2 linked regions of the Oryzias latipes genome follow. The protein of the gene in region 2 purifies or fractionates together with the protein of the main gene of each other region. This does not show direct contact. Links are inferred from orthologs where the notes say so. Each region holds a gene or a part of one and is shown on either strand. Other genes may lie near its edges.

What was found.
Region 1: the proteins of wdr19 (region 2) and ift43 purify together in Homo sapiens (affinity purification with mass spectrometry; 3 studies listed by BioGRID and IntAct, counting the BioPlex papers as one, with this or other methods). This does not show direct contact. The link is inferred for Oryzias latipes from reciprocal best matches to the Homo sapiens genes WDR19 and IFT43.

What each region holds. Positions count from the first base shown.
Region 1 is NC_019880.2:13,329,729-13,334,285, reverse strand, and holds the start of ift43 (intraflagellar transport protein 43 homolog), read right to left. Parts: upstream 3,100-4,557; 5' UTR 3,016-3,099; coding exon 2,971-3,015; intron 1,956-2,970; coding exon 1,857-1,955; intron 1,766-1,856; coding exon 1,745-1,765; intron 1-1,744. Other genes in the region: tgfb3 (transforming growth factor beta-3), read left to right, coding at 4,292-4,557. UniProt on the Homo sapiens protein: As a component of IFT complex A (IFT-A), a complex required for retrograde ciliary transport and entry into cilia of G protein-coupled receptors (GPCRs), it is involved in ciliogenesis.
Region 2 is NC_019859.2:13,002,847-13,007,186, reverse strand, and holds the start of wdr19 (WD repeat-containing protein 19), read right to left. Parts: upstream 2,960-4,340; 5' UTR 2,848-2,959; coding exon 2,842-2,847; intron 2,200-2,841; coding exon 2,108-2,199; intron 2,009-2,107; coding exon 1,943-2,008; intron 1,832-1,942; coding exon 1,706-1,831; intron 1,603-1,705; coding exon 1,484-1,602; intron 1,396-1,483; coding exon 1,280-1,395; intron 1,157-1,279; coding exon 1,076-1,156; intron 637-1,075; coding exon 524-636; intron 427-523; coding exon 253-426; intron 177-252; coding exon 106-176; intron 44-105; coding exon 1-43. UniProt on the Homo sapiens protein: As component of the IFT complex A (IFT-A), a complex required for retrograde ciliary transport and entry into cilia of G protein-coupled receptors (GPCRs), it is involved in cilia function and/or assembly.

The sequences.
Region 1 (4,557 bases), on a different chromosome or scaffold from region 2:
AATGTATAAGACCATACATGTCCTGAGAAGCAAAACAAATCTCCTCCTGTAAATCTTCATGACCAAATATGAACCCGACAGTTGTAGTAAAATAGTTTGGGGCTGTTCGGGGCAATTAACTTATGGTTTCTAAATTAAGACTCACTGCCAGTCTGTATGGAACTTGTGGCCAAACCTTAAGAGCCCATAAAAGCAACTTTTTTACTTAAACAATGTCAAGAATGTGACCAGTCAGTTGGGTATTTTAGTCAGGACACGAGAGGGTTAGAAGCAAAGAAAAAAAAAAAATCTGAATTGCACGACACTGAAAAAATGCATTGCATGTGCACAGGAGGTCAGAGGGGCGTGAGAATATGGGTTCATACATTAGGGAAGTTGGCCTAATTTGGAAAGAATTGCCTAAAGCGAGTGCACTACTGGAATTTCTGCTTTGGGAATGTTGGCCTGTTTACAGTCCAGCAGAGCAGAGATGTGACCGATTCCACAAATGCCAACAATAGCATCGCAATTTCCTTCTATTTGACCTCTCTCATAATGTTTAGTCTTACTTGTTAAATTCTAAATTTACCATCATCCTTTTTTTTTTTTTTTTTTTAAGAGTTCACAGAGAAAATGTTCCCTCTCTATGGGGAGTGGTGTGTAAATTTAAATTATGCCAGGAGTTTTGCACAAAATAGCGCTTCAAACTCTTGCATGTAGATAATGTTAGTGTTTTAAAATAAATGTTTTAATATATGTGTTTATTTCATGTGTTTATTACTTTTGTATGCACTGGAACAACACAAAAAAGCAGAACTTAAGTCAAACCTGACAAAAATTCAACACATATGAAAAATGAACTGGACAAAATGATTTAAAAAAAAAAGCAAGGCTGGAGAGAACTGATATAGCAAAAGTGCAATCCTGGAAGAAAGTGATACAAAAGTGGAACTTTTTGGTAAAGGACATCATAATACTGTTTACAACAGAAGAAATGAGGCCTTCAAAATAAAATATACAGTACATGTTGGACCTTCAAAGATTTTTTAGGTTTGCTTTACTGGATGCTTTGACTGTCTGAACGCCACTGTTATCAAGACATTTTTGATGCACAACATAGTGGTCAGAAAGCTGCATCTCCTTCAGAGATCATGGACCTCCCAGGAGAACAATGACCCAAAATGTTTTAGAAAGCACTCAGAAATAGATCCAAATAAAGAGCTGGAGAATTCTGCCAACAAGCAATGAGTCCAGATCGAAATCTAATAGAACAGCTGTGCAGAAATTTTAAAACATTAAGGAGAAAGGATCCTCTTGACTTGAATAATCGGGAGCAGTTTGCATAAGAAATGTCCAAAATTCACGTAGAGAGGTGTGAGATACACTTTCATGATTACAGGAAGCAACAATTTTTTTAAAGGGTGCAACTAAATATTAAGTTATGGGTGCCAATACTTTGATTCATGGAGTGAATTTTAGACAGTTTTTTTGTTTCCGTTTCTCCAGTGCAAACAAACAAACGTAACAACAACAAAACGGCAAGAACCAAAAGATTTTCAAACAGAACTTTCTAAGAGCAATATGCATTTTCCGATAGAATTAGGAATAACAATATACCTATGGGGAGGTACTATTTCATACCAACTAGAAATAGGCAAACGTGCAAAAACAATTTTAAAAAGGCATCTAAAAACTGTAAAAATGTTTAAAGTAAATTATATTTAGAGCATTAAAGGCAAATGTCAGGCATGGTCAGGCAACCTACCTCATCAGCATCATGTGATTCATGTATGGGACAAAACAAAGCAGTTATTGCATCGGGAAATGTTTAGACAAAAGAAATGCAGCTAGCTTGGCCTTATCAGTAGATTACATACTTCTAATGATGCAGAAGTGGAGGACTTCCTTGCATGGCGAGAATCTTCAAATGACGATTGGTTCGCCTGAGGACGAGCTCTTCGTCCAGATTTAGCAACCTGGAAAATGAGGAGGAACTTAGGAAAATGTTTTTTTTTCATCAGTTACTAAATATTTGCAAGTTTTGCTTTAAGCTTTTCATGATACTTGGGTTTGCACAAAAAAATGCAACATGTCTTGCTCCACTAAATATACATGAAAAAAATTTATCTATTATTAATACCCATTAAAGGGCTGCTGAAGCCCTTCATAGCTACCGTAGGCAAAGGTGGGGTAAAGCAGACCAGGTCACCAGTTTAGGGTCACCACAACCATCCATTCATCCCTAAGGTACCATTTAGAGTCACAAATCTCTAATCAGGAAGGAACCTGGAGAGCCTATAGAAAACCTAAGCAGGCAAAGGGAAATGATGTGAACCTGACCCAGGTTCACCAACAAAATAAGTTTAAAAAAATTGAGTTGCACTCAATGTATAATCTTTATCACAGTTTTTGTTTTGTTTTTTGTAAAAATGCATAATAAGAATATAATAACCTATATATATATATATATATATATATATATATATATATATATATATATATATATATATATATATATATATATATATATATATATATATATATATATATATATATGTTTTTTTTTTGTTGTTGTTTTAGTAGTGCCCCTGTCGTGACCTTGATCTGTTCTACATAACTGTCTGGTATAGCTTTCTATGAAGGTAAAATGCAGAAAGAACTGTCCCCTAACGAAAAAAGGTGCATGTCGGGAATTTTTTCTAGCTAGCATAGCAAACCCTTTCGTTAGATAGCAACTCGAGTACAAATCTGTCGGCTTTCGTAGCCCAGAAACAACAAGCTCATTTGTATCGGTGTCGTTGACTGTTTCAATAAAAAGTGAACTAGCTGTAACAACCCCCGGCGTTTTAACTTTAGGGCCTACTAGTGGCTAGTTAGCTAACCGTACCGTGATTTGGCTTTTAAAGTGCGTCTTCACCCCTTACGCCACACAAATGTGCAAAGACGTGCTCTTCTCCACCTGTTATGAACCAATTCAACCAAACTGCTTACGTTTTTGGGCGCTCCACCATATTCAAGCTGAAAGGTGTCGTCCATTTTTCTCCTCAGCTGAGGAGAAAAAGACAGAAAACCAAGCTCCTGTTTGACGCTAACGCGTTACATAGCAACAGCGTCCATAGCAACACCAATCAGCGTGCGAATCCGAGTTGCTTGACTAAAAGACAGGAAATCAATTAACGTTTTTATAATTGCCCACCTGTATTTAATTTCAAAATATTACACACATCACCTAAAAAGTATATATTTGCCATACAGTTATAAAAACAATAAAAGGAGGGGGATGGCAAAGCTTTAAAAATGGATGTGGCTAATAATTCACAAATTCACATTTATTTGGGACCATCTGACGATAAAAGTAAACAAATATACAATATTTTCAGTTTTCTGCAAAGAAACAAAAATCATTCTGAACACAGTTCCCTTCTTTTGCCACTAGATGTCAGTGTTGTGCATGCTTTTAAAAAACAGACGGCCCATTGAACGGTAGCACTCAAAAGCGGATCAGGTTGCACTCCTGCGCACACTTGGTGCACCTCATAAATGTTGCTTCACCATCTGCATTTGCACTTTCCATCAAATGCAACTTTTGAGTTTAGTCCTCCCAAAATATTCAAAATCTCGGCTTATTATCGCCTTCTTTGACATTTTAAGGATCCCCAGACTAAATCAACAAGGAAATTAATGATTAATAAATTACGCATTACTAACTTTTTTTTTCTTTGAAAAACGAAAGTTCTTTCACCTTTAAAATGTTAAAGCATATTTAATGCCATCATTTAAATTGAGATTGCAAGAGCGCCCATTGTTCAAGCACAATAAATTGCTGCCCCTCCTTCCAAAACGTCACTGCTTGTAGCTATAAAGTCTGACTGAGGGCTCAGCGCAGAGCGTGTCTGAGGTCGGACTACAGGGAGATAACGGAGCCACACGGACCCCAGAAAGCGCAAGTGGATGGGGAGGGAACCCTCGTGGAATAGAGACAAGTTCACCACGGCGCAGAGATTGAAATAAAGCTAAAGAGGAGAGATGCTTGAATGACACAAGGGGTAATGAAGAGTGTAATTGAGAGTTTTGATGGAGAACTGAGAATATTTTCCAAAATGGTACGGATTTGCGCCCAAGCAATTGCCCATTTTGCAAAGATGACATAGCGCATGAGAAAATGGGATTTCTTCAGGAACAGAACTCACTCACGACTTGAATTTAAAATATATATATTAAAAAGGATTCAATAACAATTGGAATTAGATTTTTTTTCTTATTGCAATTTTATTTCTCTACGTTTACTTGATCGGTTTTGAGTGAATGCAATATGAATCTGGGCAAAGCTCTCCTGCTTTTCCTCCTTTGCAACTGTGTCACAATGACTTTCTCACTGTCCACTTGCACCACTGTGGATATCGACAACATCAGGAAAAAGAGAATGGAGGCGGTGCGCGGACAGATTCTGAGTAAACTCCGGATGACCAGCCCGCCTCAGACAGCGGGGCCGACCCAGGTACCCTTTCAGGTTCTGGCCCTTTATAACAGCACCAAGGAGCTCATTGAGGAGCTCGGAAGAGACCGGCAGCAGAGTTG
Region 2 (4,340 bases):
GCAAAAAGTTGCCCGTCGTCTGTCCAACTTATCTGATCCAGACCTACGGGGGAAAGGATGGAGTGAAGCGGAAATCTCTCAGAATGAAAAAGAGGAAGCATTTACCTTTAATGTCCTCGTCAAGTTGAACAACGCTGCTGATATATTTCGACTCAGACAACTCGTGGACTTTGATGCTGTAACAGCAGAGGAGAAGTGTCAATATTTCATTAAAACAAAAGCCTTCCTGGGTGTCTTTGATGGTCAGTTCACCTGTTGTCCCCACAAGATGCAGCTTTGTGGAGGGCTGGCGATACGGCCACACTGTTGAGACTATCCTCCTGGTTGCGAGTCTGATAGATCTCGTGCCCGATCTCCCTAATATGTGTCGAAATGACTATGAAGTATCCATGGGAGAATCCAATAAGAATATATCCATCGCCATACCTGCACAATCAGACAAAAAATGTAGTATAGAATTCTCAGCCTTGATTTAGTCCCCGCTGTGCCAAATACGGTGGTAGTGCGTGGAAGTAAACAGTACCAGTGGTAGGACACAATGCTTCCATAGGTCCTCTGAAAAGCCAGTTTTATTGGGTTTTCTGGGTCGTTGATATTGAAGAGCATCAGGGATTTCTTATCCACAATCACACTCACCTGAGAAGGCAGAGATTGTGATCAAAATACGGACATGTGTAATGCTGAAACAGGTAAATATGGTTCTGTAAGGAAAACATCCAGTATAGACAAATTCATGTAATAAAATGCAGGTCAACACAAAATGAGTACTATAAAAATAGAATTAAAAGTTTAAAAAACAACATCTCATAAAAATAAAAGTGTTATCATCATAGAGTCTGCACTCAGGCTATTACAAACAGGAGTTAAACTATCTGTTAAACCAATTATGGAAGAAAATAGGACACATAGTTCTGATGAGTGACAGTAACAGGCTGCTGCACCACAAAGTGAGGAAGAGCAAAAAACAAAAGGCTACAAATAAAGTCAATTTTTCAAGTATTATCGAACAACCTCACCTCAAACAGGCAAAACATAACCTATGGTTAAAGTAAAACAAATCAAGCCAGAAACCTACAGTACTCTCTCCGTGAGATGATCTTTCATCTGTTTTCATCGATGAAAAGTAAATGTCACCAGGTTCTCCACGCAGTGCAGCCTAAAAAAAAAAAAAAAGACGGGAAAGATTAACTACCGTACATTTTTTGTGTCAGATTTCCGTGGTCGATAACAATAATAAATGTTCTGACACTATATGACACTAAAGGAAGTGCACCAGTACCTGTGAGATGGTATCTCCTTCATGGTTACTGATGGTGAGAGTGTTGTCATCGCTCCCCAGGGCCAATAAATTCTGAGAGTTCCAGCATCCACAGGTGATCCTTTTGGTGTGTTTCCCTAAAGTTAGACAACATCAGACATTTCATTCTGTAACACTCACCAATACTGACATGCAGCTTTTGAGGTTGCATTCAGTGTGCTTTACCTAAGACCGGGATTTTGCGTGAGGTTTGTCTGTTGTAAATCAACAGGTTTCCTTTGGCGGTCCCTACAGCTAACAGAGGGCCGGTCTTTGACCACAAGATGAAGGACATCTGATCTTTGCTGGGGACAACAAGAAGTATAAAGGCTAAAATTAGTATTTTTATTTGCACTGAGAATGTTTCATTTGGTAACTATTCTAACCCGTAGAGATTGATTATCATACTTCAGGCCACTGTCTATCTGTGATGTTTTATTGACACTGGCGTCCCACAGGTAGATGGAGACGGATTTTGCTGCAATAACGGCCAGAATGTCGCCGTCGTTATCCCAGTCCATCCCCATACAGCGCCTTACAGGAGGAGGATGAGGAGGAGAAAGAAAAGCAAAAAGGTCTTTATTTTATGTTTTTCATCCATCTTGATCAAACAAAAACAAACCCTAAAGAAAACGTCCCACTTACCCTGGAAGGTTGAGTTCAGTCCATTTATGTCCATACCGATCAAATATTTTTACCGAGTTGTCCTGTCTGTAGCAATAAAGGTAGAAAGAAACATTTTTGAACTTCTGGTTATAATCTTACCTTGATTTTTAAAATCCCCCCCCCCAAAAAAAAAATAATACTCACCCTGCAACAGCAATATAATTACCAAGACTTTTTTGCCATTTGTAAAGCAGGTTGGAGCCGGTCCAGGCCTTGTCGGCAAGAATAAAAACACTCTGTGGAGATATATGACTCTTTTAATATATCACTGATCCAAAACCTAACTTTTCTCTGAGGGGACAATTTACAGAGATGCCTCCCTTGTTTATGAAATCTGCAACTTTTTAGTGCAGTACACAGGTGAAAGGTTATTTAAAATATAATTGTTCCTACATTTGAAACAACAGATTATCCTCTCATTGGTGGCAAAATGTTTGGTTTCCTCCCAATTCTATTCACTTAAACTTGTCAAAGTGGCTCATTCTCAAATATCTATGAATTATTTGGGTGACTTTTAAAAAACATTTACTTAGTTTGGATAATAAAAGAAAAAAAATGAAATTGGAAAAAAACAAAACAAAACAACGTTTCTCTGCAAGTAGCATCAAACAACTCATTAAAACTCAGTTAAAAACTGTTGTAGCTTATACTTCCAACCCGTTTTACCTTTTTAAAAACATCGTATACACTCAAAATCCATCCACAACTCATTAAAGAAAGGCACGAATTAATTTAAGAACACATACATAAATTTACCTTAACCAAAGCCTGTGTAAAACGTTAGCATAGCACTCAACACCACACCGAACCAGCTTTTTTCCCCCAGACGTATTTCACAGTAACCACCACAAAGTTCCCTTAACTGCGATATAAATTACCTTCATTTTGTTTGATTTAATTATCTCGAAACTGAAGTTTTCGTGCCATCAGATTCTCAACCTAAAGGGGATAAAAAACGTATTTCCCACAATGCTTCACTCTCAGGCGTCCACTACAGCGATGTCATAGCAACAGACAGTAGCCAATCACACACCTCCATAAACTGCCGTTCAAAAGGCTCTCGCCTGAAACATTATTTTGTACCTGACACGATTTTATATTTGCAATTGTGCTCGCTCATTCCCTCAATATCTACAGGATGAGGATTTTCTGTCATGACGTAATCAGATAAAACAGGTTTCTGCAAAAATAAACGAATTAAGTGATGTTAATCCTTACATTAATTCCTAACAAAACATAGATTGGGGTTTGGAAAATGTAAATTTTTTCATTATTTTGATTATTTAATGCCTCAATATTTAAGGATTCATACCCTCCAGGGCTGGAAATATTAGGATTAAAAATAATCCTGATTTGGCCAGTAATACATTTCAAGTTTCTGAAAAGAGTAATTGTAGAAAGTTTGTTATAGTTTATCACTGCAGTACCGAAGAGGATTAGGGCCATGGACAAAGAAAAAAAAAGCGCATAGAAAATTCTGACTTTAATCTCAGAATTCTGACTTTAAAGTCAGAATTGTCTATGACCTTTTTTTTTATTTCTCCATGGCCCTAATCCTCTTCCGTACTGCAGTATGCAGCATGTTCGCACAATTAATATTTTTTGCATGTACTGTAATTAGGGCGCTTACTGGGTGACGAAAAAAAAAGTTTGTTGTTTTTTTTTTGTATTTTGTTAATTTCTTATGTTAAAAGTTGAACTCAAATATATTGTAGTCATGAGTTTCGATTGTGGTTAAATACTGAACTGAATGCACCTTGAAAATCAGAGCATCAATGTATGAAAACAACTGGTTTGTTGTGCTGTTTTACTTGCAGCTTTTTAATTGCAGAATCTGACCACAAGGTGGCAGTATTAACCTGGTCACCAGTAAAGTTCCGTTCCAGACGCCTCATTTTTGTGATTTGAGCTGTGCAGCTTCATCAACAATGAATTCAAGGAACAAACGCGACAAAAAATAATAGTTTCTTTAACGCCCTCAATTTGTTTATTAATGATTGTTCTCTGCCTGTTTATTGCCCTGTGGCAGAGTAGTTCAGATGAAAGTGTTATTTCTGAATTAAATCCACTGCTTTGAATGACTTTTCTTTGTGTGTGGGATCCTCCATAATGCCCTATGGAAATGTGAACCTTATTTCCACTTACAACATCCTCTAATTGTCTAGGTTTTCTGCCCCTCCGTGAGTTACCTCCTGTTAGTAGAGTCATCAGTTATCACACTTGCCTCCTGTTGGCTGTTTTTGTAGGAAGAGTCACTTTTTTTGTATTTTTTGGGTCATGCAATACGCCACAATCTCATCCCATGATTATAAATCCTAAAAAGTGTTACCCTTATGGTTTTCTTCCACTGCAGTTTACTTGCCATGCAGCTGGATGT